2 linked regions of the Callithrix jacchus genome follow. The protein of the gene in region 1 interacts with the protein of each later gene in a pairwise test. Links are inferred from orthologs where the notes say so. Each region holds a gene or a part of one and is shown in the gene's direction. Other genes may lie near its edges.

The links.
Region 2: the proteins of ANKRD40 (region 1) and AHCY interact in binary tests that used the Homo sapiens proteins (3 or more experiments, as listed by UniProt). The two-hybrid records come from large-scale screens. The link is inferred for Callithrix jacchus from reciprocal best matches to the Homo sapiens genes ANKRD40 and AHCY.

What each region holds. Positions count from the first base shown.
Region 1 is NC_133506.1:115,634,239-115,650,338, forward strand, and holds the start of ANKRD40 (ankyrin repeat domain-containing protein 40), read left to right. Parts: upstream 1-9,023; 5' UTR 9,024-9,284; coding exon 9,285-9,418; intron 9,419-15,576; coding exon 15,577-15,725; intron 15,726-16,100.
Region 2 is NC_133506.1:4,994,526-5,009,960, forward strand, and holds the start of AHCY (adenosylhomocysteinase), read left to right. Parts: upstream 1-1,009; 5' UTR 1,010-1,094; coding exon 1,095-1,122; intron 1,123-1,346; exon of another isoform or gene 1,347-1,992; intron 1,993-5,484; exon of another isoform or gene 5,485-5,495; intron 5,496-6,915; coding exon 6,916-7,106; intron 7,107-8,530; coding exon 8,531-8,606; intron 8,607-10,205; coding exon 10,206-10,355; intron 10,356-10,779; exon of another isoform or gene 10,780-11,167; coding exon 11,168-11,280; exon of another isoform or gene 11,281-11,335; intron 11,336-11,763; coding exon 11,764-11,971; intron 11,972-12,063; coding exon 12,064-12,151; intron 12,152-12,251; coding exon 12,252-12,369; intron 12,370-15,435. UniProt on the Homo sapiens protein: Catalyzes the hydrolysis of S-adenosyl-L-homocysteine to form adenosine and homocysteine. Binds copper ions.

The sequences.
Region 1 (16,100 bases):
GGTTAGGAAGGGAAACTGAAAGTACAGTTTCTTAATTAACGGGAGTTTATATGCCAAAGGGCTAGTTTGAGATAGACATTTTAGTGGCGTAAGCCGGGGGTTTGGTCCTGCTGTTGGGCAGGGCCTGGATTTGCAGACGTGGCTTCTGATTACCCAAACCTAGGCCGCTGCTGCGAGGATGATCGGAAGGGCGGCTCAGCATCCTGGACGGCACTACCGAACACCAGAGGCTGCGAAAGGGATCAGGAAGGTGGGGACGTCTCCCTTAGATTCCTGACCCCTGGAAAACCCCTTATGGGGAGAAGACAAGAGTGTAGGGTCATCTCCTCTATGCTCAGGTCATGGCAAGAGACGAGAAGGAGTCCCTGATGCAGCCACGATTATGAGCAGGGAGTCCACAAGGCAAGCAGTAGGGGAGGCTATGGGTTACAGAAGTCTTACCTAATGGCAGAGTGGCTCCCTGGTCTGGCTTCAGGTGGAGGAGTCAGTTTCCCCCAGGAGGGGTCTTACAACTCCTCCCAGGTTTCAGCACCACTTGTAAGGGTTATTGCTGAGTTTAAAATGAGGAAACTGAGGCCAGTATAAGAACAATTAAATTCCAATTTATTCAGCTCTCCAGCGAGGTTCTATGGTCCAGGAAAGGAGGGCTGAGAAGTTGCACTGACTTCCTGAGGCATAGGGTTTTTATAGCTATAGCGAGCAAGGAGGAGCAGCATGCTCCGATTGGTTATGGGGGAGTGGGACATAGACAGGGCAAGCTGCTATTGGTAGGTAGATTGTTGGGCGGGATTTCCCTAACGCAAGATCCGGCTTGGGTTACATTAACCGGATCCTTCCTGGAGAGCATGTGCTCCTGAGATAGGTTCTGGGTGCAGAGATGTGAAGTAGGTTCCGGGCACAGAGATAGGTGGATGTGTTCGAGCTCCTGGTGAGGCAACCGGCCTTACAACTGCATTCCAGCCTGGGTGATAAAGTGAGAACCTATCCCCAGGAAAAAAAAAGTCTCCAATGTTAGAGCGTATGGCTCCCCATTATCTCCACTCTAAGATTCAATCACCACAAGGTGGTCCATGCTCTGACCTGCTTTCTCCACCTTCATCTGCTACTGCTTCCAGTGAGGAGGGAGACCCAGGCATTTGGGATTTCCTCCCCCTCTGTCATCCACTGTGCATCTCAATAAAAGAGAGAGCAGGCCAGCTGGCGCCTCCTGAATATCCTTCCTGAAAACAACAGGCTAGGCCTTGGGGAAACTCTCCAGAAGGCACTATTTTTACTTAAAACAAAATCAAACCAGAAACCTTTTCACATGTGAGTCCTAAAACTGTAAACTGGAACCCTTTCATATGTGATTCCTGAAACTGTAAACAGAGACCTTTTCACATGTGAGTCCTAAAACTATGAACCTAAAATTCTTCCACGTGTAACATCTAAAGTATAAGCCTATATAGAGGCTAAACCTCCCTTTGTTAAACAAGCTTGGCTGTTAGGCACCTATGCCACCTTGCTCCCAGCTGAAATAAGTTCCTTCTTCCTGTATTCGGTGTCCGAGAGATTCTTTCCCGCTGCCGCTCCTGCTACACCAGTACTCAGTAGACCCTTGCTTCCTGCATTTCACCATGTATGTTGCTCCAGGCATGGCATGCTCTTCCCCCACTCCAGTAGCAAGCAACATCTACTCATCTTTTTTTTTTTTTGAAGACAGAGTCTCGCTCAGCTATCCAGGCTGGACTGCAGTGGTGAGATCTTGGCTCACTGCAACCTCCACCTCCTGGATTCAAGCAATTCTCCTGTCTCAGCCTCCCGAGTAGCTGGGATTACAGGCACCCACCATCATGACTGGCTAATTTTTGTATTTTTAGTAGAGATGGGGTTTCACCATGTCAGCCAGGCTGGTCTTGAACTCCTGACCTCAGGTGATCTGCCCACCTTGGCCTCCCAAGGTGCTAGGATTACAGGCATGAGCCACTGTGCCTGGCCTACTCATCTTTTTTTTTAGAGACGGAGGCTCACTCCTGCCTCGGCCTCCTGAGCAGCAGGGGTTAGAGACATGAGCCCTACTCGTTTTTCAGCTTACAGCCCGGGTTTCAGCAGCTCTACAATGCCAACCTGGATCCTGGCCCTCCACCTGCTACACACCGATCACCCTCTTCTTTGTACCATAGTTTCACCTTAAGTGTCCTCGCACATTTTTGGGTTTGTCACACAATATTGCAAATATTAATCTCTTCCCTTAGAATGAAAGGGTTTTTTTTTTTTTTTTTTTTTAGATCAGGTGCCATTTCTTATTCATCTTTGTATTCTCAGATTCTAGCACAGCATATAACATGTAGGAGGTAGCTCATGGTCACTCCTAACCTCATTATAATAATGTGCTTACGTCTGAATGTTTGTGTCCTCAAAGTTCATATGTTGGGCTGGGTGTGGGCTCACACTTGTAATCCCAACACTTTGGGAGGCTGAGGTGGGTGGATTGCTTGAACCCAAGAGGCAGAGGTTGCACTGAGCCATAATCTCGCCACTGCACACCACCCTGGGTGACAGAACAAGATCCTGTCTCAAAAAAAAAAAAAATTCCTATGTTGAAATTCTAACCTCCAAGGTGATGATATTAAGAGGCAGGACCTTTGGGATGTGATTAGATCATGAAGGCAGAGACCTTAGGAATGGGATTAGTGCCATTCATAAATGAGGCCCGAGAGAGCTCCTTTGCCCCTTCTGCCATGCCATGTGAGGAAAAAGTGAAAAGCTGGCAGTCTGCAACCCAGAAGAGGGCCCTCGACAGAACCTGACCACGCTGGCACCCTGATCTTGGAATTTCAGCTTCCAGAATTGTGAGAAATAAATTTCAGTTGTTTATAAGCCAACCAGGTTGTGGTATTTTGTTATAGCGGCCCAAATGCACTATGAAAGTCTGGGGTCTACCCCAGTGCATAGTTTCACTGCAACTTTCTTCTCCGACGGCACCAGCAAGCTCATTATGGTTAAACCCATTTTCTGTGTTTCAGCCCTTTCTTGCCCTTTCTGCAGCACTTGACCCTGTGGATCATTCCCTGGTCTCCAAACCCTCCCACTCCTTTGCTTTTCCTCCTGCTCTTCTGTGAATAGTGCTCCTCTTTAGTCTTGTTTGAGAATTTCTTCTCTTCTGTCCATCATTAAAATGTTGACTACAGATGCTCCTCAACTTAAAAAGGGGTTACATCCCAATACATCCATCATAGGTTGAAAATGCATTTAATGGCCAGGCGCAGTGGCTCATGCCTATAATCCCAGCACTTTGGGAGGCCGAGGCGGGTAGATCATGAGGTCAAGAGATAGAGACCATCCTGGTCAACAAGGTGAAACCCCATCTCTACTAAAAATACAAAAATTAGTTGGGCATGGTGGCACACACCTGTAGTCCCAGCTACTCGGGAGGCTGAGGCAGGAGAATTGCTTGAATCCAGGAGGCGGAGGTTGCGGTGAGCCGAGATCGTGCCATTGCACTCCAGCCTGGGTAACAAGAGCGAAACTCTGCCTCAAAACAAACAAACAAACAAAAATGCATTTAATATACCTAGCCTATGGATACGGTTTGGCGCTGTGTCTCTACCCAAATCTCATCTCAAATTGGAATCCCAAGGTGTCCAGGGATGAACCTGCTGGGAGGTGATTGGTTATGGGAGCGGTTTTCCCCATGCTGTTCTTGGGATAGTGAGTGAGTTCTCACGACATCTGATAGTTTAAAACTGTGGCACTTCCCCTTCGCTCTCTCGATCTCTCTCCTGCCACCCTGTGAAGGAGGTGCTTGCTTCTTCTTTGCCTTTGCCAAGATTGTAGGTTTTCTGAGGCATCCCCAGCAATGTGGAACTGTGAGCCAATTAAACCTCTTTATAAATTACCGAGTCTTGGGTAGTTCTTTTTTTTTTTTTTTTTTTTTTTAGACAAAGTCTTGCTCTGTCACCCAGGCTGGAGTGCAGTGGCACAGTCTAGGCTCATTGCAACCTTTGCCTCCCAGGTTTAAGTGATTCTTGTGCCTCAACCTCCCAAGAGTAGCTAGAATTATAGGCTTGCACCGCCACACCCAGCTAAGTTTTGTATTTTTTTACTTTTCTTTTTTTTTTTTTTTGTTTGCACACAGAAAACAATTTGGTTCCAATGCATAATTTTTGTATTTTTTAGTAGAGACAGGTTTTCTCCATGTTGGCCAGGCTAGTCCCGAATTCCTGGCCTTGGCGTCTCAAAGTGCTGGGATTACAGGCATGAGCCACTGTGCCCAGTCATTTTTATAGCGTGTGAATATGCCTATCAAACGTCGTAACTTAGTCTAGCCTCAAATGTGCCGAGAACACTTACATTAGCCTCCAGTTGGGCAAAATCATCTAACACGAAGCCCATTTTATAATAAAGTGTTGAATATCTCTTATAATGTATTGAATACCGTACTGCAAATGAAACAGAATAGTCATTTGGGTACTTGAAGTAAGGTTTCTACTGAATGTGTATCACTTTTGCACCATTGTAAAGTAAAAAATCCTAACTGGAACCATCATAAGTTTGGAACCATCTGTCTTCTTCAGCCTTTGGCGGTCTTCTTTTTAAATATTATTTACTTACTTATTTTAAGACAGGGTCTCGCTATGTTGTCCAGGCTAGTCTGGAACTCCTGGGCTCAAGGGATCCTTCTGCCTCAGCTTCTTGAGTAGCTGGGATTAACAGGAACAAACCACCATGGCTGGCTGTCTTCTCTCTCTCTTTTTGATACAGTCTTGCTCTGTTGCCTAGGCTGGAGTACAGTGGCATGATCTCAACTCACTGCAACCTCTACCTCCCAGGTTCCAGTGATTCTCCTGCCTCCGCCTACTGACTAGCTGGGATTATAGCTATAATTATAATGGGTACACCACCACACCCATATAATTTTTGTATTTTTAGTTAGAGGTATGGTTTCACCATATTGGTCAGGCTGGTCTCGAACTCCTGACCTCAGGTGATCCACCCACCTTGGCTTCCCAAAGTGCTGGGATTACAAGCGTGAGCCACCATGCCTGGCAGCAGTCTTCGCTCAGCACTCACAGACTCTCTTGGGGATCTCTTTTCTATTCCCATGACTTCAGCTAGCACCTTTTGCTGACTGCAAAAATGCAATTCACCAGCCCAGATCTCCTTTCTAAATGCAATACCCATGGACATAACTATTTACTGGACATCTCCATTTAAATGAAATTCAGAAAAGAAAGCACAGGCTCAGCAGTTGAACTTGAGTTCAAACTTGCTCCATCACAAACTACAATATATATAGCATTGGGCAAATTTTTGTTTGTTTGTTTGTTTGTTTTGAGATGGAGTTTCACTCTTGTTGCCCAGGCTGGAGTACAATGCCATGATCTCAGTTCATGAACCTCCGCCTTCTAGGTTCAAGCAACTCTGCTGTCTGAGCCTCTCAAGAAGCTGGGATTACAGGCATGCGCCAACACGCTCAGCTAATTTTGTATTTTTAGTAGAGATGGGGTTTCTCTGCATTGGTCAGGCTGGTCTCAAACTCAGGACCTCAGGTGATCCACCTGCTTTGGCCTCCCAAAATGCTGAGTCATGAGTCATCATGCCCAGCCTTTTTTTTTTTTTTTTTGAGATAGGGTCTCATTCTGTTGCCCAGACTAGAGTGCAATGGCGTGATCTTGGCTCACTGCAACCTACACCTCCTGGGATCAAGCAATTCCCCTGACTCAGCCTCCTGAGTCAGCACCCGCCATCACACCCAGCTAATTTTTGTATTTTTAGCAGAGATGGTGTTTCTCCATGTTGACTAGGCTGGTCTTGAGCTCCTGACCTCAGGTGATCCACCTGCCTCAGCCTCCCAAAGTGCTGGGATTACTAAGTGTGAGACACCATGCCTGGCCAGCATTGGGGCAAGTTAATTACCTCTCTGAGCCTCACATAATAATGATGGTCCTGTCTTACCGAGGAGTTGTTGTGAGGATTAAATGAGATAATTCGCATACAGCACTTCCTGCAGTGCCTGGCAATGAATTGAGAGTAGCAGATAGTAAAGAGTAGTAGTAATTAAAAGGGCCTCAGAAAGCTCAAGTCAACAGATTCAAAAGTGAATTCATGACCAAACCTCAAACCTTCTCTTCGTCCTTTGTCCCAAATCTCAATAAATCGCACCACCAGGCTGGGCACGGTGGCTCACGCCTGCAATCCCAGCATTTTGGGAAGCAGAGATGGGTGGATCACCTGAGGTCAGGAGTTCGAGACCAGCCTGGCCAACATGGTGACACCCCATCTCTATTTAAAAAAAAAAAAAAAGAAGAAAGAAAAAAAAAATTAAATCTCACTACCATCTAATCAGCCAGAAACCTGAATGTTATCCTTGTTTCTTGATCACCACCGCCCTCCCATTCTGCCAGGTTAAGTTTCTCTAATGTAAACCTTGTAGTAACCCACCTATGATCCAATGAATGTTTAAGATGTCTAGGCTTTGCACACATCCATTCATTCAATCCATAGAACAATCCTGCAAGGTGGGTGCTACTATTATTCCTATTTCGCAGATGCAGAATTCAAGGCATGGAAAGTTGAGTAATTCATCCAAGATTATATGAGTGGCAAAGCTGGCATACAAACTCAGGCAGTCTGTCATCCATCTCCCGTGCTAACTACTACTATGCCACATTGTTTCTATTGTAATGCATTGCATGTTATATTGTTTGCCTTGTCTCCTCTGATAAACTGTTCTTTGAAATCAAGAACTGTGATTCATTCGAAGTAGCAACATCAGTGACTAGAACAGTGACTGGCTAACAGTACATGCTTAATATGTTCAGTGAGTTAGGTAGTACCCTAGAGACAAGACAAAGGAGAGATAAATGGAAGTAGTAATAGAACAGCCAGCAGGTTACATTCGGTTATATCAAGGATCAGAGGTTTCGTTTGTGGATAAAGTTTTTTTTTTTTTTTTTATCTGAAGATAATAAACAGAAGATTGAAATCAGAGTAAGTAGAGGTTGAATTTAAGAAGATCTACTAATATTCATGGGTACAACAGTTATGTAGGGTATGCACTATAATCCTTTTAAGGAAAGGACGTATAATCCTTTCAAGGAAGTTGACAACCTCATAAAGAGAACTCAGAGACCATGGGGTGCAGTCAGGAACAACTTCTTTCTTTTTTTTTTTTTTTTGAGATGGTGTCTTGCTCTTGTTGCCCAGGCTAGAGTGCAATGGTGCGATCTCAGCTTACTGAAACCTCCGCCTCCTGGGTTCAAGCAATTCTCTTGCCTCAGCCTCCCAAGTAGCTGGGATTACAGGCACGTGCCACTCTTGCCCAGCCACTTTTTGTATTTTTAGTAGAGATGGGGTTTCTCCATGTTGGTCAGGTTGGTCTCAAACTCCTGACCTCAGGTGATCCGCCCACCTTGGCCTCCCAGAGTGCTGGGATTAACAATTTTTTTTATCTGCATTAAAACAAAAAACAGCAAAAACAGGCTGGTGCAATAACTCACACCTGTAATTCCAGCACTTTGGGAGGCCAAGGCTAGCAGATCACGTGAGGTCAGGAGTTCAAGACCAGCCTGGCCAACATGGTGATATCTCGTCTCTACTAAAAATACAAAGATTAGCCGGGCGTAGTGGCACATGCCTGTAATCCCAGCTGGTCGGGAGGCTGAGGCAGGAGACTTGCTTGAACCTGGGAGGCGGAGGTTGCAGGTGGAGATCGCACCACTGTACTCCAGCCTGGGCAACAGAGTGAGACTCCGTCTCAACAAACAAACAAACAAGCCACTGCCTACTCCCACGTCACTCAAATTGTGAAGGGCTCAATTCCAGTGCCATACACATCAGCTTCAGTTGGAGTATCATGTTGGATGTAAGAATTAAAATTTAAATTGGGGGAACAAATGCGAGCTCAAGCAGGGTTACAATTTGCCTTGGGGGTCAATTTAAGTATGTAGTCAGTTTATATTCATCACCACCTGCTGTGCACTGCGTACTGTGTGAATTACTGAATATACTAAATAGACATTGGTTTTTCTTAAACTGTAGCAAGAAAAATGCTTGCTGTGCAGATCCTAGCAGCTCCAAGAGACAGAAATGAAAACTCCATGCCTAAATTTATCCCTTCCTATTTCATCTCTTTGTCCAGGCCTTCTTCCCTTCCACCCCAGGGCTATTTCCTTAATCCTGACCCCATCTGCAAAGTTCCATCCTGTGCTACATTGGAGCATCTCTTCGGGCCACCTGGACCCAGCAAAACAAGATTTCCTTTTTCTCCCACTGGGTATAAAACAGTGCCAACTGAGGCTCTGAGCCTCATTAGATAGATTGGGCAAGAAGTCAGGCAAAATGTTGTTTACATGTACACATCAGCTCTTCCGTGAGCACTTGGAATCAGGACCAGGACACCTCCAAAGCCTCTTTGGTGTTTTTCCTTTCATTTTCCTTATATGGCCTTCAGGAAGAGTAACTGATTACAATCTGTAAGCAGTAATTACAGATCATAAACTGTGAGCACAATAAAAATATTTTTCCTGAAAGCCAGGTTAGGAGAAACCCTGCCTAAAATGAGATGTAAAACAACAATTGAAATAAATATTCGAACTGAATTGTCCCCAAGCACTGTCAAAAAGAAGAAAGAACAGTGTAATCTATCTCTGTAATAATGGGCGTATTATAGTAGGATCGTTTTAAGCTCATTTCCCCATGCTGCTGGGCAAGAATCGACTCAGATAAGGAAAAGTAGCCAACCAAACGAGGGAAAAAAGAACAACAAAAACCCCCCACATCCCATCAAAAAGAACCCACCAATTATTTTGGATGCCTGGCAAACAACCTGCACCAGAGGATAAGGCTTTTCGGGCTCTCAACTACGCTTTTTTCTCTTTTCATGTGTCTGTCCTCCTCCCTTGAAACTGCGGGATGGGGAGGTCTAAAAATAGCCAGTGAGTCACGGCAGATAATATTGTGCAGTAGTTACATAAACAGCCAGCCCGGGCGCCGGGGCCCGGGGTCGGAACGGAAAATATCTGGGTCAGGGTTGTCACACTGAATAGGGTCCCCCGGAGCCGGCCTTCGGGAGGTGCGGCCGGGGAGGAGGTCTAGGCCTGCAGGCCCGGAGCAGCAGGGGCGGCCAGCGGGAGGGAGCGGAAGTCCCTGGACGGGCGCGGGCGGCGGCGCGAACTGGGCGGGCGAGCTCCGCGCTCCCTCCCCATGGCCGGGAGCGGACCGCGGCGACGGCGGCGGCGCTGATAGGCCCCGGGCGGGGCGGGGCAGGCGGGCCCGGGCGGGGGCCTGGGGCCGAGGGAAAGATGAGCGCCCTCCTAGAGCAGAAGGAGCAGCAGGAGAGGCTGCGGGAGGCCGCGGCCTTAGGGGACATTCGGGAGGTGCAGAAACTGGTGGAAAGCGGGGTGGATGTGAACTCCCAAAATGAGGTCAACGGCTGGTAAGTGGGGAGCGGGGGAGGCCTAGCGTCAGGGCAGCCGGTCCGAGGCGTGGGGCAGTCAGCCGCGACCTGGGCCCAGCGCTGCCTCTGGACGCCGGGCTATGGCGACACCTGCCACCTCGGGCCTCCGAGATTGTGCCCTCTTGAGGCCAGCCCTGGCCCCCATGCCTCGTGCGGTCAGGAGCGCGTCCTGCCCAAATCCCGGCCCACGTGGTCCACTCGGAGCAGCGCCCACTGGGACCCTGTCGCCCTACCCGCTTCCCCCTGGCCCCCTGGGTCACTTAGTCAGAGCAGTGCTGGAGGCTATGATTCTCAGCTACTGTGCGCTGGAGCTCACCCCAATTTGAGTGTTGAGTTAATTTGCCGTAGGTGCTTCCGAAGAACACATCTTGCAGAGCTAAAAGCATAAGCAACTGAGCATATACGAATTTTATAAACTAGCACGATTTCCTTAGCCAAGACCAGGGAAAAAAAAGAAACATTTGCATCACCATTCTGCTTCTCCATTGTTTCAGTCCAACCGATTTGCTGCTGCTGCCTACAGTTGCCTGTTTGAGGGAAGGCTCATTTGTTTATCCTATTAAGTATTTTGCTTTCTTTCTTTTTCTTCTCTTTTTTTTTTTTTTTTTTGAGACAGGGTCTTGCTCTGTCGCCTAGGTTGGAGTGCAGTGGAACAATCTTGGCTCACTGCAACTTCCACCTCCCCGGCTCAGGTGATCCTCCTGCCTCAGCCTCCCAAGTAGCTGGGAATACTGGCGAGTGCCACCAGCTAATTTTTTTTTTGTTGTTGTAATTTTAGTAGGGATGGGGCCAGGTTGGTCTCAAACTCCTGGACTCAAGTGATCCGCCCACCTTGACCTCCCAGAGTGCTGGGATTACACGTGTGAGCTTACCATACCCAGCCTCTTCTTGTTACAATTTCAAATACAACATGTCATCCAAGGCTTTAGATGTCTGCCTGCAGATTGAATTCTCCCCAGTTAAATAAGGAGTCTCATTATAAGATATTGTTGGTGGTCAAAACTTACTGAGTGTGGTATTATTCCACACTCTGCATTTAAAAGTTAAAATTTTATTTGATTCAAGTAATGCTTAGCCAGACTATTTTGCTAACTTAAAGTGAGTTTACTTTTTTTTTTTTTAAGTGGAATCATCCATTTTGGAACTGAAAGGAACAGTGCAGATAAGCTCAATCCCAGAGAATAACTTGCCCTAGGTGACATCCCTATTAATATGACAGAACCAGAACAAAACTCTCTCAAAAGTCTTATCTACCTGAGCGGAGTGTGGTGGCTCTTGCCTGTAATCCCAGCACTTTGGGAGACTGAGGCAGGTGGATCACAAGATCAGGAGATGGAGACTATCCTAGCCAAGGTGGTGATACCCCAAATCTACTAAAAATACAAAAATTAGCTGGGTGTGGTGGCATGTGCCTGTAATCCCAGCTACTTGGGAGGCTGAGGCAGGAGAACCACTTTGAACCCAGGAGTTGGAGCTTGGAGTGAGGCAAGATCTCGCCACTGCACTCCAGTCTGGCGACAGAGCAAGACTCTGTCTCAAAAAAAAAAAAAAAGTCTGTCTACCTGGTGGGACCTGGTGACTCACGCCTGTTATCCCAGCACTTTGGGAGGCTAAGACAGGAGGATCACTGGAGCCCAGAAGTTTGAGACCAGTCTGGGGAACATAGCAAGACCACAGTCTCCAAAAAAAAAAAAAAATCTGTCTACCTAATTTTCCTAAAGAAAACAGCCTGGACAGCTGTCCAGAAAGCCAGGAAACAGTGGATACAAGCTTTTCTGTTTACAGTTTCCAGGTCTTTGCAGACTTGCTGTTGTGTATGTACCTTTTCTGTGCATTGCTCTGGTTCAAAGCTGTGAATTACCATTTTGGCACTGGGAGGCAGTGTTGTGTAGAAGGAGCCTAGTCTTCCCTGCAGGTTCTTCTCCATTCCTGCCTAGCTATGAGGCTTTGCCCAAGTTGCTTCATTTTCTACTTATTCCAGAAGAGTGTTGTCAGCATTTAATGAGATGAAACATAAAATAAATAGCTAACATTTATTGAACTTGCTTTGTAGCAGAGATGGTGTTCTAAGTGATGTACGTGTGTTAGCTCGTTCACAACTGCTTGGGGACATAGTTACTGTTCTCTCCATTTACAGATGAAAAAACTGAGGCCCAGAAAGATTAAGTCATTTCTTCACTTTGCACAATGCTCCTTCTCAAGATCATAGGATTGACAGTAACTAGTGGAGCCAGAAAAAGAACCTGGCATCTGACTCCAGACTCTACCCTCCTAAACACAATGTCTGCCCCATAGCAGGTGTTTCGTAAATATAATGTGAAGCTGAGGTAGCCTGAAGAGGCTTCGTGTGTGTGTGTGTATTTATTTTTATTTTTTTGAGACAGTTTTGCTCTTGTTGCCCAAGCTGGAGTGCAATGGTACAATCTCAGCTTACAGCAACCTCCACCTCCCAGGTTCAAGCAGTTCTGCGTCAGCCTCTCGAGTAGCTGGAATTAGAGCCGTGCACCACCATGCCTGGCTAATTTTTTGTATTTTTAGTAGAAACGGGGTTTCACCATGTTAGCCAGCCTGGTCTCGAACTCCTTACCTCTGGTGATCTGCCCACCTTGGCCTCCCAAAGTGCTGGGATTATAAGCATGAGCCACTGCCTCGGCCTCTTATAGATTTAATTGGGGGAAGTGTCTAATAGGCTCCTCAAACTCAACATGTCCAAGATTGAATTCCAAGTTTCCCCTCATCCCTCTACCACCTCAAGTGTGCTCCTGAGTCCTCTTCAGCCTCTCAGGGGTACTCAGGCCAGAACCCTTGGCGCTCTGCTTGCCTTCTGTCTTTCATAGCTGATATCCAGTCAGCCAATGCTGTGAGTTCCACCTTCAGATACAGTCAGAATCTGATTACTTCTTACTACAGCTCTGGTTCAAAGCCACCATTGTTTGTCACCTCAATTATTGCAGTAGCCTTCTAACTAGTCTCCTTGCTCCTAAGCTTATATCGTAGTCTTCTTAATTAACACAATGGCCAGAGGGATCCTGACTTAAAACATAAGTCAGATCATTTCACTCTGCTCAAAAATGGCTCCTGTATCACTCAGTAGAAGCCTACAAGGTCCTACAATTTGTACTCCCTGTCCCCACATCTTCCCTCCTTACCTGTGTGCTCATCTCATGGGATTTGCCCTTCTGCTTACCTTTTTCCCCTGGGCTCCTTGCTTTCCCAGGAATACGAGACACAGTCCTGCTTCAAGATGTTTGCATTTTATCTTCTTACTCTCCTAAATGCTTTCCCTCCAGATGTCACATGGTTTGCTCCCTCATGGCCTTTAGATTTTAGTTTAGATGTCACCTTCTTGGCAAGGCTTTTCCTGGCCCTTCAGTTTAAAATTGCACAATGCCCTTCTCCAACCTCTCGCATTCCCTAACGCCTTTCCCTGCTTTACTGTCGCTGTCACACTTCATCACCTAGCGTACTGCATGTTTTGCTTATTTATTTGCTGATAACTGTTTCCTCTTCTGTAAAATGGGGGAAATGCTGAATATAGTATTTACTTCATGGGTTGTTTAGAGGATTAAATTAGTTAATACATGTAATGCCTTTAGAACAGTGTCCAACATGTAAAGCATTATACCTGTGTTAGCTATTGTTGTTATTATGAAGCAATGTGCTGGGTAATGGAATATAAGGTTACTTCCAAAAAACTTACACTCTTGCATTGAAAAGCAGAATGGTGACTGCTTTCAATTCTCAGTTGCTCAGTAACCATAATTTCAGCACCAAGCAGTGATGCCCAGTTGATGAATGACACCCAGTGCCTCAGGTCTGAAATAGTTTCCGACACTAATAAGATATTCTGACTGCAAATGTAAAGCTTAAGGAGTTGAAGTTCAAAGATAGAGTAATTTATCAATTAGATTGATTACTAATCATTCTGCCACATCAGTTGTAAATCAAGTGTCATATATGACCCTTGATTTTAAGGACCAAGGATAATGCTTCATGAAGAACTTGAAAATATTACCTGGCTGCTGCGGCTCTGAGTTATGGCTGCCCAGAGTCACAGAGCTCTGGATTGTAAATGATGATCACTAAGGTACAGGGCTGTGGGGGCCATGCCATGGTGACTTACCAGTGCTTTACATGGTGATAGTTTAGCAAGTTGGTTTGTCCCAGAGTCTCTCAGACCCACTGGCAGTAAATTACTTCCTTTACTCTCAAGCCATGACCAAGTGATCTACTACTACCAAGTGGGCATTTTATTTCCAAAAGGGAGCATATTTTTCGCATCCTGCTTCATTCATCCTCCTTCAACCATTTTAATTGTTTACTTTTTAAGCCTGTGCGACAGACATCCACACACAAACACTCTCAGTTGCAGTTTGCCCAGAATCAAAGATAGATTGGATTCTTCTACTTCAAGCAAGGTCCACCTTATCCTTAGTTTACTTATGCAGTAATTTTTTTTTTTTTGAGATGGAGTCTTGCTCTGTTGCCTAGGCTGGAGTGCAGTGGTGCAATCTCAGCTCACTGTAACCTCTGCCTCCTGGGTTCAAGCAGTTCTCCTGCCTTAGCCTCCTAATTAGCTGGAATTACAGATGTGCACCATCACGCTAATTTTTGTATTATTAGTAGAGACAGGTTTCACCCTGTCGGCCAGGCTGGTCTCGAACTCCTGACCTCAAGTTATCCACCTGCCTTGGCCTCCCAAAGTGTTGGGATTACAGGCATGAGCCACTGTGCCTGGCCCGTTCAGGAAATATTAAGCATGTATATGTGCCAAGCAAATACATCCTTGCCTTCAGGAAGACTCTTCTCTCCCAAACTTAAAAATATTCTTATTTTTCCCAAATTAGCAATAATTGTGTCATTGCATCATGGAGTACACCTTAAAGGAACCTGGATAATCTAATTCTAATGAACCATAGTGTAGAATGTCACTCTGAGACATTAATGGAATTACTCCCAGCCAGCCAGACCTGCTAACTTTCTGGAAGTTGCTAATGTTAAGCCATTAGTAAGTAAGCAAATCAGCTTTTTCCTGGACCCATATAAACTTTCCAGATAATTATACTTCCCAGGTTAGTGACCTAACCTTCACTACTGAACATATGTTCTAATCTTCATTTCTGTATTTGGCTGTAAGAGCTCTGAAGATATTTATCTCAGTTCAATTATAGATTTGGTAAAAGAAGACATTTCAAAACACAGGGGGAAAAGTATTTTCATTCCATAATATGCATTCAGCTTTGGCACCTAGGGATGGATTTAGTCGCTCTGAATCTTTCATTTCTGTGAAGATGGAGTTTTTGCTGGCGTGCTAATTATGTTTCTGTGCAGTATTAAAATAGTAGCCCTTCAGTGTGTGCAGAATTGCTTCCTCTGTGTACAATATTGAGTGATTAGTTTTACTTAAATGAGTTTGATATATTAGAGCCTGTTGAAGAATTTTGGTTGTTGATGTATGTTTTTAAGTACCTTAGGAATTAAAGTATCTGTGCAGTGCCTTATGTTTACGCAGATGAGGATATGTTTGTAGCCTTCTGGAGAGAACTAGAGAAGCCGGCTTTTTAAAAATGGAAATTTGGAAATCTTTTGTGTGTGTTAAGTAAAGAAAAGGAGGAAAAAGAAAGTGAGCAACTGGGATTCAGACAGGAATATCTGCTGTCGTAATAATAACTTAAGTGACAGAGCAAGCTGCAGATGGGAGATGGTTATTAGCCTGATCATATTGAACCTTCAGGTGGCATATGAAGTGAGTTTCCATAGTCCCTGAAAAGGAATATAGCAATATAAAAATGTGTTTCAAAGAGACTGAGATGATCTAATGAGCGATATTGATAGAGTAATACTCCACAGTATCACTGGAGTTAGCCAGCCAGTGAGCTTCCCTTCTGGAGGCCATTGAAATGAAAACTCCTAGGATAAGTTAGTTTTTCTCAGGGGCCAGAAATGAAATTTAAAAACAAAATATAAGCATATTAAATATTTTGATCATCTGCTTTCTGAAAAGTTGAGATTACCAGCCCGGTTACCTGGTTCTAGCTGAACTCTTAACAGGCTTATATATGTTATTTACTAATGTTTCGAATGTGAAATCCCAAATCACCTCTCCTCTTTTTAAATCATTCTTTTCTTTGGGACAGGACTTGTTTACATTGGGCATGCAAACGCAACCATGGTCAGGTAGTCTCTTACCTGCTAAAATCAGGAGCTGACAAAGAAATTCTTACCACAAAAGGAGAAATGCCGGTTCAGTTAACGTCAAGGAGAGAAATCAGGAAGATTATGGGAGGTGAGTCTGTTTTGGGGGAGCTTTTGATTTCGTCAGACTTATTTAAGACTTGTGATATTATTGGCTGCATTCTTTTTTTTTGAGACGGAGTTTCGCTGTTGTTACCCAGACTGGAGTGCAATGGCACGATCTCGGCTCACCGCAACCTCCGCCTCCTGGGTTCAAGCAATTCTCCTGCCTCAGCCTCCCGAGTAGCTGGGACTACAGGCGTGCACCACCATGCCCAGCTAATTTTTGTATTTTTAGTAGAGATGGGGTTTCACCTCGACCAGGATGGTCTCGATCTCTTGACCTTGTGATCCACCTGCCTTGGCCTCCCAAAGTGCTGGGATTATAGGCGTGAGCCACCGCGCTGGGCCTATTGGCTGCATTCTT
Region 2 (15,435 bases), about 110 Mb from region 1:
ATAGAAGGGTTTTGGAGTCCACAGTGTCCTGAAACCAATCCCTGCTTCCAATGCCTAGGGATGACTGAACAATACGCAGCAGAGAAATGAATATATTCAAGCTATATGCATGACTCTCAGGAATATAATGCTCACAGAGAAAAGCAAATTGCAGAAGGGTAAACACGGTTGATATATAAAGGTATTAAACACAGAAAGAATTGTTTAATGACATACATATGCAGTGAAAGTATAAGAAATGCATGCAAACTTACCTAAATTTAGGGTGGTAGTTACTTGGGGTAAGGTGAATGTTTGGGATGTCACGTAGGTACCTGACAAATGGCAACTTTATTTTGTTTTTGTTTTTAGACAGGGTCTTGCTCTGTTGCCCAGGCTGGAGTCCAGTGGCAGGATCATAGCTCACTGCAGCTTTGATCTCCAGACTTAAGCCATCCTCCCTCAACCTCAGCGTCCCAAGTAGCTGGGACTACAGGTAAGCACCCCAACGCTCGCCTAATTTAAAAGAATTTTTTTTTGTAGAGGTGAAGTCTTCCTATGTTGCCCAGACTGGTCTTGAACTCCTGGGCTCAAGTGATCCTCCCGCCTTGGCCTCCCAAAGTCCTGGGATTACAGGTGAGAGCCATCGCACCTGACCTGCAACTTTACCTATAATAATCTGTGTGGTAGGTAGATTTTCCTAATCTGTAAAAATTCGGCCCATTTTACAGATTAGGAAATTGAGGCACAGGGAAGTGAACTAGCGGAATTTCAGTTCCGCTTGGTTCTGACATTGAATTAACTGGCTGAACCTGCAAGAGGACGGCCCAGCTGGGTCTCAGGCCTCTCCTGGCGCTCCCTTCCGAACCGGTACGTGAGGTCCCTGGGGCCAGGCCTTGTGAAATTCTGAGGCTTCCCTGCAGGGATCGAAATCCTCTGGCCCCACCCTGCGCGTTGGGCCCCGCCCCAGCGTATCATGAATATGCAAGTACCAGGGAGATATTTAAAGGAGCCGGCGCCACACGCATATCCCTGCCCCGCGTCGCCCGTCCAGAGCCTCTCCTCTGACTGAGGCCCAGCCCACTTCGCCCGTGCCCGTCACCAGCGACGCCAGCATGTCTGACAAACTGCCCTACAAAGTCGGTGAGTCCTAGGACCTGCAGCCGGCTGCCGCTGCTCGGCGCCCACCCGGCGCATGTTCGGGGCGGGGACCGCAGGGCCGACTCCGGGCGCTCTGGACCCCCTGAAATCGCAGGCTCGGCGAATTTCTAGCCGCGCCAAGCCACCTGGAAGTTGGAGTTCTCGCGCGGCCGTAAGCTGACCTTCCCGGGTGGCCGCGGACTACGAGTCCCAGCGTGCCCCGCGACGTCGGGGGTGGCGGCGCGGGCTGTGAGCCGCAAACTGGCGCCGTGCTCCAAAGGAGAGCACACCTGGCTGCGGCCTGGAACGGCGGACACCTGCCGGACTCTGCTCAGGGGGCCTGCGCCCTGCCTCCTGTGCCTGGACCGGACCCTGTCCAGCTGGGAGGCCCCGACGAGGGTTCCCCCCCGCCGCCCCGGGCCTCCTACAGGGATGGCGAGGGCGCTGGAGCTTCGGAGCGTGTATGAGGAGAGGCCTGGAAAGCGAGCCCCAGGCCGGCTCCGGTCCTCTCCCCGGGGACTTTGGGCCAGTTACCCAACCTGTGGGATCTCCCACCCCGCCAGCAGGAGTGGTTAGAAAAATCCTGCTGTCCCACCGAGTGAAGTGTGATCCAGGGATACTTAACGTTTACTTAGCGTTTCCTGTGGGTTCGGCACTGCCTTCTAGTTTTATTCTATTTTCATGGCTCTCTAGGGAGACTGTTATCGTTTTATGATGAGAATCCTGAGACAGAGGTAACTTGCCCAGTCTTACAGCTGGTGGTGATGGAGCAAGATTGGAACGCAGGCCATCTAGACCTGTGAGCGCACCACCCTTTTCACCGCTGTGCAAGCGAATACACGCGGAACAATCCTGACTTTTCAGCAAATACCAGTTAAGTCTGGCTAGTAGCTATTCAAGTAACTTTGACACAATTAGACCGGGTGTGGTGGCTAACACCTGTAATCCCAGCACTTTGGGGAGGTGGAGGTGGGCCACCTTGAGATCAAGAGTTCGAGACCAGCCTGGCCAATGTGGTGGTCTCGAAATCCTGTCTACTAAAAATGCAAAAATTAGCTGGGTGTGGTGGCAGGTGCCTGCAATCCCAGCTACTCGGAAGGCTGAGGCAGGAGAATCGTTTGAACGTGGGAGACGGAGGTTGCAGTGAGCAGAGATTGCCCCACTGCACTCCAGCCAGGAGGCTGAGGCGGGCGGATTATCTGAGGTCAGGAGTGTGAGACCAGCCTGACCAACATGGTGAAACTCCATCTCTATTAAAAAATAACAAAATTAGCCAGGTGTGGTGGCGCATGCCTATAACTGCAGCTAATCAGGAGGCTGAGGCAGGAGAATCGCTTGAACCCAGGAGGTGGAGGTTACAGTGAGCAGAGATGCCACTGCACTCCAGCCTGGGTGACAGAGCAAGATTCCATCTCAAAAACAAAACCAACAACAAAACACACACACACACACACACACACACACACACAACCACTATTAAGTCTGGAGAATGGCATCCACATTTATGGGACACTTGCTGTATATCCGGTGATTTATATGTATTTACAGAATAATCTTCATAGAGGTGGACGCTATCCCGTTATATAGAGCTTGAAACAGACCCTTGGGAAATGACTTGCAAAGATTCTGTTGAAATAGTTTAAGTTGCTACAAGAGTAGACTGTCTCCATTGTGTGGATGATGAAACTGAACCCAGAAAGGTTATGTCAAGGTCATAGTAGTAGAGCTGGAATAGGGCTTGTCATACTGTGGAGAGATTAGTGGGTCAGGATTGGGGGCACTGGGTTGTGTAGATGGAGATAAAGCTGGATTTGGGAGAGGGGGAGCTTAGCAGGATGAGGCTGGAGGAAGGAGGCCCTGCTGTGTGCCAGATCTTGATCATATGGCATCTTCTTTACTTAGGGCACATGGTAAGCTAGGGATGATTATCCTCATTTTACAGATGAAGAAACTGATGTTTGGAGGGGTTCTTGCTGTTCCTCTTGGCTTCTCCTGGGGACAGTTGTTCCTGTGACTTCTGCAAGTCCTTAGCTCCAGAGATTGGAGCATCTAGCCTCTCCTGTGCCCTTGGAGTTGAGGGTCCCACAGAAAACTGTGGGGCTGGCACAATGTCCTTGAGGGCACTGAAGGAGCTATTTTTAGCTGGAGGGACATGTAGTGGTGGAGGGGTGGAGCATAGCAGCACAGGGCATAACCCATTTTCCCATATAGCCTGGCCCCTCCCAGGAAGGCCTTGAGAGGGGCCTCTGCTCTAGCCCTACCTGGCTGCCAGTTATGCTTCGGTCACTAATTGGCTATGGAACCTGTGGCAGACTCCTCTCTGCAGTCTGAGTTCCTTCCTCATTAGTAAATGCTGGGACTTGGACTAGGTTCAGATTTATGTTGTTTGTCTTTGCCACCCCTGTCACGTGCCAGCCCCTCTCATGGGTCTTTCATTCAGTTCTGAGGACACATGATCAGTAAACAGTTGTGTCTGCAGCGTGAGGCCGTGCTGGAAACACATAGGTGACCCGAGGATAGGGGTGGCACAGGCATACATACAGATGAAGTAGCGCGGCCTCCATCTTGTGTGAGCAGAGCTGGCACCCCTCTGTCTCCATAGTCACCCAGTTCTGGTCTGTCTCCTTGCGGACATCCCTGGATCTCTTGCTGCAGAGATCCACGCAGCAGCCAGTGGGGTCTTTTCAAAAGACAAACCTGGTCTCTGAATGCTGGCTCCCTAAAAACTGTAGGCTCCCTACTTTGCTGGGACTGAAGTCCCGACTCATCTTACCCCCTCTATTTGAGTCATCCTGGTGCATTCTCTGTTTGTTTTCTTTTCTTTTTTTTTTTTTGAGACGGAGTTTTGCTCTGTCATTCAGGCTGGAGTGTAGTGGCTCGATCTCCATTCACCGCAACAACCTCTGCCTCCTGGGTTCAAGCGATTCTCCTGCCTCTGCCTCCCAAGTAGCTGGGATTACAGGTGCGAGCCACCATGCCTGGCTAGTTTTTTTGTATTTTTGGTAGAGATGGGGTTTCAGCACGTTGGCCAGGCTGGTCTCGAACTCCTGACCTCAAGTGATTGCTTGCCTTGGCCTTCCAAAGTGCTGGGATTACAGGTGTCATCCACCATGACTGGCCTAAGAAGTGACAGTTTGGATGAAGGTGGTGAGATGCAGTTGGATTGCTTATATATTTTGCTTGTTGAGCCAAAAACGTGCTAATTGAGGTGGAAGAGGAAAAGAGGAATCAAATCTTAAGTTATTGGCCAGAGTAGCTGGTTGAATGGTGGTTTTATTTCCTAAAATGGGAAGATTGGGAGAGAAGGAGTAGCAGGGCAAGGAGTCATGAGGGCTCAAGCATGACACGAAAAAGTCCAGTTGGACATCCAGGTGGAGGTGCTGTAGAAGCAGTTGGATCAAATTGAGTCTCAAGTTCAGGGGAGTGGTTTGGACTGAAGGTAAGTACGTGGGAACGCTGCAGAGAAGGCATGTAAGGCTGTAAGACTGGATGAGCTTAATTGGTAAGCATTAGAGAAGCAGGAGATGATGGAGCCCTGAGGGCTCCCAAACTAATATTAGAGTCTGTTATCTGCAGAGGAACCAGGAAGGTAGGTGGAAAAGCACAGGAGGACAGAGTAGCAGAAGCCAAGTAAAGAAAGGGTTTCTGGAAGGAGGAAAAGTAAGTGGGATTACAAGTAGCTGGGATTGCAGGTGCGTGTCACCACGCTTGGCTAGTTTTTGTATTTTTAGTAGAGATGGGATTTCCCCTTGTTGGTCAGACTGGTCTCAAACTCCTGACCTCGTGCTGCTCTCCTCAGCCTCCAAAAAGTGCTGGGATTACAAGCCTGGGCCACCATTCCGGGCCGTGTCTTTTAGGGTTTTAATAAATGTGATGTCTTGGCCAGGCACAGTGGCTCACACCTGTAATCCCAGCACTTTTTGGAGGCTGAGGTGGGCAGATCACAAGGTCAGGAGTTCGAGACCAGTCTGACCAACAAGGTGAAACCCCGTCTCTACTAAAAATACAAAAACTAGCCAAGCATGGTGGCGAGTTCCCGTAATCCCAGCTAGGGAGGCTGAGGCAGGAGAATTGCCTGAACTGGGACCCAGGAGGTGGAGGTTGCAGTGAATCGAGATTGTACCACTACACTCCAGCCTGGGCTGTGGAGCCAGACTTCTATAAATGAATGAATGAATCAATGTGATATCTTGGTGTGGTTGTGATTGCCCTCCTGCTGGGTTCAGTGGCTCCAGTGCAGTGGAGGGTCAGGTTTAATTGGGCTGAGAGTTTTGCCAAGTGAGTTCTCAAAGGGAAAGAGGGCAGAAGGCAGAAGGGACAGTAGAAATTGGTAGGATGAGTGGAATAGAAGTTCTGACCTGACAGGCCACAGCCTTGTTGGAGCTGGGGCTCTAGAGGGAGAAAACTGGAAAGAGGAGATGTGGCTAGAGTTGGGTGCTTTAGTCCAGATTTCCAAGGAGTGCTATCATTGGTGATGGCCTACCAGGGTAGGAGGCCTGGGGCAGGGTGGTATAGAGAAGGGCTTGAGTTGAGGCACAACAGGAGTGTTCTCTCATGGGAGAGGCGTGTTTCATCTCTGAAATTGTTTCAATGCACTGTAGGCAGCTGACTGACTTAGACAGTTTTATTGATTATTAAATTCTCTACAGAGTCCTTTGCCTCTCATCGTCTACCTCTTTGGGTGATTGGCAGAATCTAAGCTTCCCTAAAGATAAAAATCATCGTGAGTCTTAGACCTGCTGAATCCAATTTTCCAGGGGAGATTTACAAGTATGCCAAAGGAACATCCCTTATTAGGGAAGTCTGCAAACTTTGATCTAGGGACCAACCTAGGTTGGGTGTGACCTTGGAATGTGGTAGGGGAGAGAGGAAGGTGAGATGAACAGAGGGAAGAGAATTGAGACAGTGAGTTAGCTCATAATAGTACCCTTCTTTACTGCCTGATATTTGAACAAATTTGAGACATTTTAGGTGGCAGACAGCACCCAAAATACACCTTTTATTTCTAATAACCTCAAGGCCAGAGAATGTAGATTAGTATGAAATCCAAATGATTCTGCTGACTGAACTCCCAGATTCAGCAGTTACCCAACCAGTTAGTTGCAGGCAGGGTGGGCCAGGGTAGGTTGATCTCTGGAAAAGCAGAGAACAGCGGCTTCCTGCAGGTGGGCAGGTGGGTACTTGCTTGCAAAAAGAAGAGAGGGCTAAACTGAGCACACCATTTATTCCTCTCAGTTTTACTGGTCAGACAAGCTCACCCCACCCCCACTGGGGCAGAGAGGCCAAGAGTGTTAGTTATACCCGGTGAGTTCCTCCAGGTGGAAAGAAACATCAGGAGTGGGGAAGCATTTTCACATCTAAAAGGAGATCAAGGAACTGTCAAATCCAAGGTGTTAGATAGTATTTATAAGTGTTGAATCACCGAGAGTGATGACAGAGAGGAAGATGGAGACCCAGCAGCTAACCTATTTAGGGAGTGAGGAGTGACCTGGAGGTTGGTGGCTGTCAGCAGAAAGGAGGGTAGTGGGCAGTATCATCTGAGCTGTTTGCTTTGTGTTGTCATTTTTGTGTCCCTGTGTGATTGATTACATGTGTTTTCCCACAAGTCAGAAAGGTGCAGGGAGGCAGGGACCTTGTCTTTCTTGAGTCCTCTGGATTCATAAATACTTGTTGAATGATTTAGAGAATGCGGTGACAGAGTGCTAAGCCCTAGTGTATTGAGTCCACAAGTGGACCGGGGTCCACACAGTGACGGCCGAGGAGGCTTACCCAACTCCCACCTGTTTCCCTCGGTAGCTGACATCGGCCTGGCTGACTGGGGACGCAAGGCCCTGAACATTGCGGAGAACGAGATGCCGGGCCTGATGCGCATGCGTGAGCGGTACTCGACTTCCAAGCCGCTGATGGGCGCCCGCATCGCCGGCTGCCTGCACATGACGGTGGAGACGGCCGTCCTCATTGAGACCCTGGTCGCCCTGGGTGCTGAGGTGAGGCCCACAGCTGTATCACCCCAGAGTTCTTGCCATCCTTTGTGGTGGGTGTTGTGCACATTTTCTTCCTGGCTGGAAGATAATTGTTGGCTGCCCTCAAGGCATCCTCATGCTTGATGCTCTGGCAGGAAGAACTCAACTCCCGTGTCCCATTTAGTCCTATAAGGGCTTGCTTGCCTTGGCCCTCCTGGGGGTCACAGACCTGCCCTGGCCCATCATGGCTGCCGGGATGATGGCAGCTCTGATTTTCAGCCCAGGTCATGTGTGCCAATGATTGACATGTCTCCTAAGGTCTCAGAGAGTAAAGAAGCAAGCTGGTTTCCCAAAGCAGGGAAGGGCATTGCAGCCAAAACCCACAGAGGGACTCAGGGCTCAGTCCTTGGACCTTTCCTTTCAGCATTCACTCTTGGTCTGATTGCAGAGCTTTAGATACTGTCTATCTGGTTTTGACTCCCATATTTTTGTACTAGCCTGGACTTCTCCTGGAGCTCGGGACTGGCATATCCAGGAGTGGGGGTGTTGACACTACCTGGCGGTCTAGTACTCACCTCAGGCAGCACACGTTCAAACAGACTCAGGATTGTCTGCCCCTCCTCTTCCCAAAGGCTTCCCTATGTGAATAAATGGAATTTTCACTCCAGCCTTCTAGGTTCCCTCAGTTCAAGAATCTGGGAATCATCTCTTCCCCACCCTTTCCTCCCCGCTCCCAACCCCTTTTACTTCAACAATTCATCCCTTAGCAAATCCTGCCAGTGCAGCCTTCAGAGTAGACCCAGGATGGAACAGCTTCTCATCACCTTCACTGCTACTGCTACTGTCATATTTCTTGCCTGGAGTCTTCTCCAACAGTCTCTTCAGCTGTCCCCTTGTTTCCGCCCTTTCCCTTCCACACAGCACCACCATAAAAACTTGAGTCAGGGCTGGGCGCAGTGTCTCACACCTGTAATCCTAGCACTTTGGGAGGCCAAGGTGGGTGGATGGTGAAGTCAGGAGATCAAGACCATCCTGGCTAACACGGTGAAACCCCATCTCTACTAAAAATACAAAAAATTAGCCAGGCGTGGTGGGGCATGCCTGTAATCCCAGCTACTAGGGAGGCTGAGGCAGGAGAATTGCTTAAACCCTGGAGCTGGAGGTTGCAGTGAGATGAGATCACGCATTGCACTCTAGCCTGGGCAACAAGAATGAAACTCTGTCCCAAAACCCCCCAAAATAAAAAAACAAAACCTGAGTCGGATGTCGTCACTGCTCTGGCCCCCATCTACCCACCCAGTGTCCCCAGCCTGTGATCCTAGAGCTTGCTGTGCCTAGATCCCAAGCCTGTCCGCCTACCTGCAGAGCTCTCCCTTTTCCTTGCCCAGCGTTCCTGGTGCTTTTGAACCATCAGTGACCAACAGCCTTGTTCTGACGGCTCTTTCTAGGTGCGGTGGTCCAGCTGCAACATATTCTCCACGCAGGACCATGCGGCAGCTGCCATCGCCAAGGCTGGCATTCCAGGTGAGTCCTGCTTACTGCTGGGACGTGTGGGGTTTATGAAGGGGCTGCTCTGTTGCTTCACTGACTGCTACAGCGACAGGCTTCCTTAGCCTACAGCAGGGGAGAGGAGTCACGGCCACAAAATCCTACCCAGCCACCCATAGGAAAGAGCTGCTTTGTCCCATCCTCATCTAAAATCCTGTGGAAGTTGTTTTTTGACCCAACTCAAGCCATGTGACCAGGAAGGGCAAGATCTTATTATTGGGAATTACATGATGTAGAGGAAGGGAAGTTCATTAAAGGAAGGGTGTGGATCTGTTTCTAAAGAACTGGGGAGGGCTACAGGGCAGAAAAAGATTCACTGCTTAGGGTATGGCGGTTGAAGGACTGAGGAAGGACTAAGACTAATGAGAAAGGAGTTTTCACAGGCTGGGCACATGTCTGCTTGGACTTAGGGAGGGAGTGGTTAATCTCACGCAGTGATTAAAGAGGACAGTCAAGATTTCTTCTAACCGACCATAGGTAGAGAGGAGAGGGTGGGACAGGGCTCCTTCCCAGACTGACCAGGGCTGAATAGGCATGATCCCCGTTCCTCACCATGGCTTTCTTCTGGGAAAGGCCTTGTTTTCTTTTTGTTTTTCCTTTTCTTTTTTTTTTTTGTTTTGAGATGGAGTCTTGCTCCTTTGCCCAGGCTGTAGTGTAGCAGTGTGATCTCAGCTCACTGCAATTTTTAAGACCATTGTCTGCTCCAGTTGCGCAGGAGAGGCTGGCTCTGCTTGGCCAGCGTCCTTTGCTCACAAGGGGCTCCTGGGAACCCCACACCTGTGCCCTAGTCACGTCACATGGGAGGAGTGTGGACTGGCCACCCAGTCCTTAGTGCCCCTTAGTTCCGGTGTCTGTTCTGGAATTTCATGTGGAGTGGCCCAAGTGCGTCTCAGCCCCTCTCTGGGCATCTGTAAGTGTGATAATGGTCCTGGCTGCCTCACAGGGTCTGTGTGAGGATAAGCGAGATGGGGCATGAAGGATTTAGAGTCATGTCTGGCAGAAAGCAAGTGCCCCATAAATGGTAGCGGCGCTTAGTCATTTTTTGGCCAAACTTTGCCTGAGACTCCTCCCATCCCAGAGGCTGCTGGTGCTACAATCCTTTCAGTGCAGAGCAAACCCTGGATCCTGCCTTGGGGATCCAGCTGAGGGGGAGGCATTGTGGGGCATGGAGGCCTGGTCACTCAGGGTTGATGCCCTAGTCCTTGGGGCCCAGGCAGAAGGGGATGGGAAAGGAAATAATTATTTCCTGATATCTACATCTGGGGGGCTATACATGGCTTCCGTCTCACTTAATCCATACTGTTTTAAGCCCTATTTATAGAGGAGAAAACTGAGGCTCAGAGAGGTGAAGTGATTTGCCCAAGGTCACACAGCTGGCAAGTGGCAGAGCCAGGATTTGAACCCAGATCTATGTGGCTCCAAGTTGTATTCTTATCACTGCTGAGTCCCCAGAGGGGCCAGAGGTGGCTGAGGATGGGAATTGGGAAGGAGGTAGTTTTGGCTCTGCCAGGGTTGTTCCCGGGAGCAGGTACAGACTGGGGAAGTCCAAGCCCTAATATGCCATTCACCCTCCAGTGTATGCCTGGAAGGGCGAAACGGATGAGGAGTACCTGTGGTGCATTGAGCAGACGCTGTACTTCAAGGACGGGCCCCTCAACATGATTCTGGATGATGGAGGCGACCTCACTAACCTCATCCACACCAAGTACCCACAGCTTCTGCCGGGTGAGCAGGGTGGGGCAGGTGGGCTGGGTACTGGATGGGACCTGCTTGCCCACATGATGGCCGCAGGCCTGGCAGGACTCCCAGCGCCTCAAGCAGCAGGATCTAGAAGATGGAAGGATGGCAGGCCCTGGGATTCATGCTGGGGCTTCCTGACTTCAGAGTGCGAGGCAAGGGTGGCTGAGCTGACAGCCCAAGGGCAGACACAGGGCCATGGCTGGGAATAGCTGAGAGGGAGCCAGCTTTGTTCAAAGCAGGTACGGGGAGTACAGGGAGTACAGAGGCCTGGATGCAGAAAAAGCTAGAATGTTCAGGAAACAGAATAGAGGCCCGCAGGATAGCAGTGAACAAAGGGAGCCTTCACTGGGGGGTATTATGGGATATGGTGTGAGCTTTCATGAAGGCCAGATGTATTCAGTCCTAATAGGCCAATAGAAAAGCATTTGATTCTCAGCGCAACGGGAAATAATTGGAGGGCATTCAGAAGATTTCTCTGAGAAGACACATGTTAGACATGGCTGCTGCATGGAGAATATGCCGTGGCAGGAGACAGGGTCAGGGCCTAGCGCAGCAGCAGTGAGAATGGAGAAGCTGGGAGTTGTTGGGAGGCAGAGTCACTAAGTCTGGCGGTGGCTTTCCCTAGGAGGGCGTCGGGGACTCCTTGCTCATGCTGGTCTGGGTGACTGGGGGGCCTGTGGGATCAGTCACAGAGATGGGAACCCAGAAAGAGGAATGACTTTAGGGGGCAAAGATGAGGAATTTGTGTGCGCTCAGGTGAGGTGTCTCTGAGGCTTGTCCTCTTCCCTCTTGTTTAGGCATCCGAGGCATCTCTGAGGAGACCACGACCGGGGTCCACAACCTCTACAAGATGATGGCCACTGGGGTCCTGAAGGTGCCCGCCATCAACGTCAACGACTCCGTCACCAAGGTGAGCTGGGGGCAGTGACAGCTCCCACTGCAGTGGCTGCAGCTCCATGCGAGGCCTGTGAAGAAGAGCGTCCAGGAAGGCTGAGGCTAGGGACATGAGGCCCTCATTTGAGGGGGCAAAAAAGTGGTTATAGATCAAGGCTAATGAAGGCATTTAGATGGAGGTCTCAGTGCTGGGTGTTAGGAGCTTTATGGCTTTGGGAAAAAGAGCTTTCAACTTAAGCAAAGTATTTGACCAGGCAGTCTCTCCTGGTAACTGATCCCTAGGAAGGCTCCAAACCAGTAGAGAAGGATTAGAGAGACGTCTTGGAGCCGATTGGGGTGAAGGGTGTGTGGAGGTATTGGCTGCTAGAGGGTTTCCACCCAGGCCGGGATGCTCAGTGGGTGCACGATGCCTGGGCTCTTCCGAGTATTCTGAGGTCAAGTGGTCCTGGCCCCAGGGCCTTGCAGGCCCCCATCGTCTCCTTACTCCCTCTCCTTTCAGAGCAAGTTTGACAACCTCTATGGCTGCCGGGAGTCCCTCATAGATGGCATCAAGCGGGCCACAGACGTGATGATTGCCGGCAAGGTAGCAGTGGTAGCAGGCTATGGCGATGTGGGCAAGGGCTGTGCCCAGGCCCTGAGGGGTTTCGGGGCCCGCGTCATCATCACCGAGATTGACCCCATCAATGCACTGCAGGCCGCCATGGAGGGTAGGATAGGGCAAGTGTTGGTTGTCAGCCACTGCGGCCGGAGGGAAGGGCACGGGTGCTGTAGATGACCCTCAGCCACTGTCTCTGCACAGGCTATGAGGTGACCACCATGGATGAGGCCTGTCAGGAGGGCAATATCTTCGTCACCACCACAGGCTGTGTTGACATCATCCTTGGCCGGTCAGTGCCCCTTGGAGGTCCTGGGGAGTGAGGGAGGAGGGCAGGGTTGGGACTGCTCTTTGTCCCTGACAATCTCCCATGATCTCGGGCTGCCTGACAGGCACTTTGAGCAAATGAAGGATGATGCCATCGTGTGTAACATCGGACACTTTGATGTGGAGATCGACGTCAAGTGGCTCAACGAGAATGCTGTGGAGAAGGTGAACATCAAACCGCAGGTGAGAAGCTCCCATCCTGCCAGCGGGCTGGGCAGATGGGAACACAGAGGAGTGCTGGCTGCCAGGGAGGGGAGCTGAGGAGACTGTGGCAACCTGTGTAGTGTGATGGGGAGAAGAGGGCCTAGTAGAGCCAGCTGGAGATGGCAACCTTATCTCGAGAGCAGCCGGCATCCCTGAAGGTATCAGGCAGGTGAGCTGTATGTGGTGAGGCTGTAGTTTTAGAAAGATCACTCTAGCTACTGTGCAGACTGAAAGCAATGATGGTGAGTGGTGGGGAGGGAGGCTTTTGGAGGAGGCTCTTACAGTCTCTGCAGGGGATGGCTGCCTTGGGGAGTGCTGGGGATGGATGGACGGCATGTGGGGTCAGGATGAAGGTAGAGTCACAAAGGACACAGCTTTGGCCAGGCATCGTGGGTCACACCTGTAATCCCAGCACCTTGGGAAGCTGAGACGGGCAGATCACCTGAGGTCAGGAGTTTGAGACCAGTCTGGCCAAGATGGTGAAACTCCATCTCTACTAAAAATACAAAAGAAATTAGCTGGGCTGGACACGGTGGCTTATGCCTGTAATCCCAGCACTTTGGGAGGCTGAGGCGGGCGGGTCACCTGAGGTCAGGAGTTGGACCACTGTGTGAGGAGCAGGCCCATGCACTGAGCTGGGAAAGAATAGGTTTGCACTGGGGCACTGAAACTGGAAGACGAGTTCTTGTTGGGGGTATGACATTTTACTTGAGTTGTAATTATTGTGGATTCATTTTTTTCTCTGATTATAAAAGTAATATGTTTCTGGAAGACATTTAGGCTTTGGATATCAAGAGCTTTAAAGTTAAGCAAACACGGCCTGGTGTGGTAGCTCACACTTGTAATCCCAGCACTTTGGGAGGCTGAGGCGGGTGGATCACTTGAGGTCAAGAGTTTGAGACCAACCTGGCCAATATGGTCAAACCCTGTCTCTATTAAAAATACAAAAATTAGCCGGGCGTGGTGGTACACGCCTGTAGTTCCAGCTACTCAGGAGGCTGAGGCAGGAGAATCGCTTGAACCCGGGAGGCAGAGGTTGCAGTGAGCCAAGATCACACCACTGTACTCTAGCTTGGGCATCAGAACGAGACTCTGTCTCAAAAAAAAGAAAAAAAAAGTTAAGCAAACTCTTTGACTGCGCAGTCTCTCCTGTAATTGATCCTCAGGAGATAATTAAGTAAGTGTTATATATAGAGATATTCATCACTTTTTTTTCTTTTTGAGATGGGCTCACTCTGTCACCCAAGCTAGAGGGCAGTGGCACAATCATGGCCCACTGCAGCCTTGACTTCCTGAGCTGAAGGAGCTGATCCTCCTGTCTCAGCCTCCCAAGTACCTGGGACTATAGGTGTGCACTACTACACCTGGCTAATTTTTTGTAGAGACAAGGTATTGCTATGTTGCCCCAGCTGGTCTCAAACTCCCGAGCTTAAGCGATCTTGCTGCTTTGGCCTCCCAGAGTGCTGGGATTACAGGCGTGAGCTGCTGCACCAGGCCCATCACATTTTTTAAAGGGAGAAAAGCCCACTTAATGTGAGGTTCTTTGAGTTGATGCTGTGCCGTCTTTCAGATATGGTATGGAAGATAGAGACACAGAATTGGCCAAAGCCCTGACACCCACCCAGTCACAGCCACACCAGAAGCCCAAGTCCCAGAGAGGCAGACAGGCAGCTCTGTGAACCCACATCCCCTACACTGCTCCCCTCCGGCCCTCTGCTCCTGTGTGGGAATTCTCCTTGGCTAGATCCTGCGCTAGTCTAGGGTGTCAATTCCTGGCTATGCAGAGGGCACCTCCATCTCTGCCTAGAAGGCCTGGCACTCATCACAGTGTGGGGGCGGGCAGGGCATGCTTCCATGGCAGCCACACCCCTGAGAGCCAGCCAGACGTCCTCCTGCAAAGGCATCACAGGGCTATACTGGGGTGATAGGCATCTTTCTGCCAAGCTGCCCTCCAAAGCTGGACTCTTCCCACCCTCAACATCCTTGACAGTCTTGCCAGCTTTCTGCCCAGCTTTATCTCTTATCTGTCCTCTCAAGGATCTCTGCACTCAGCTGTATTTGACCACTCCCTGAATACCCACTGCAGCTCCTGCTTCTGCTCGTCTGCCCAGACAGCTCCGTTTGTTTGGAACAGAACATATGCCCTTTTCTTTATCCATCTTCTTAACCCAGCTCAAGAGATCCCCCTTCTGGCCAGATATGGTGGCTCACATCTGTAATCCCAGCACTTTGGAAGGCCGAGGGAGGTGGATCACTTGAGGTCAGGAGTTGGAGACCAGCCTGGCCAACATGGTGAAGCCCCATCTCTACTAAAAATACAAAAAATTAGCCGGGCATGGTGGCTGGTGCCTGTAGTCCCAGCTACTCCAGAGGCTAAGGCAGGATAATAGCTTGAACCCTGGAGGTGGAGGTTGCAGTGGGCTGAGATCACGCCACTGCACTCCAGCCTGGATGACAAAGTAAGACTCCATTTAAAAAAAAAATTAAGGGCCGGGCGCAGTGGCTCACGCCTGTAATCCCAGCACTTTGGGAGGCCGAGGCGGGTGGATCACGAGGTCAAGAGATTGAGACCATCGTGGTCAACATGGTGAAACCCTGTCTCTACTAAAAATACAAAAATTAGCTGGGCATGGTGGCGCATGCCTATAGTCCCAGCTACTTGGGAGGCTGAGGCAGGAGAATTGCTTGAACCCAGGAGGCGGAGGTTGCGGTGAGCCGAGATCGCGCCATTGCACCCCAGCCTGGGTAACAAGAGCAAAACTCTGTCTCAAAAAATAAAAATAAAAAATATAAAAAGAGACTCCTTTGCTGGCCAGCTTCTCTGGCAGAGGCAATGCCCACACTCTACTGTAGACCCCTAGTGCAGCATCCATCACTGGCTTTGGTCTCTGCCCCGACTGTTTTATCAGGAGGGTAGAGTCCAGATTGATGTGTCCCTGCAAGGGGCTTAGATGGGTATCAGTGAGTGCTTATTGGCTGAAGCATTAATCAATGCTTGATGGGCATCAGAGACCTTTCCTTGGACTGGTACTAGGCCTCTGAAGC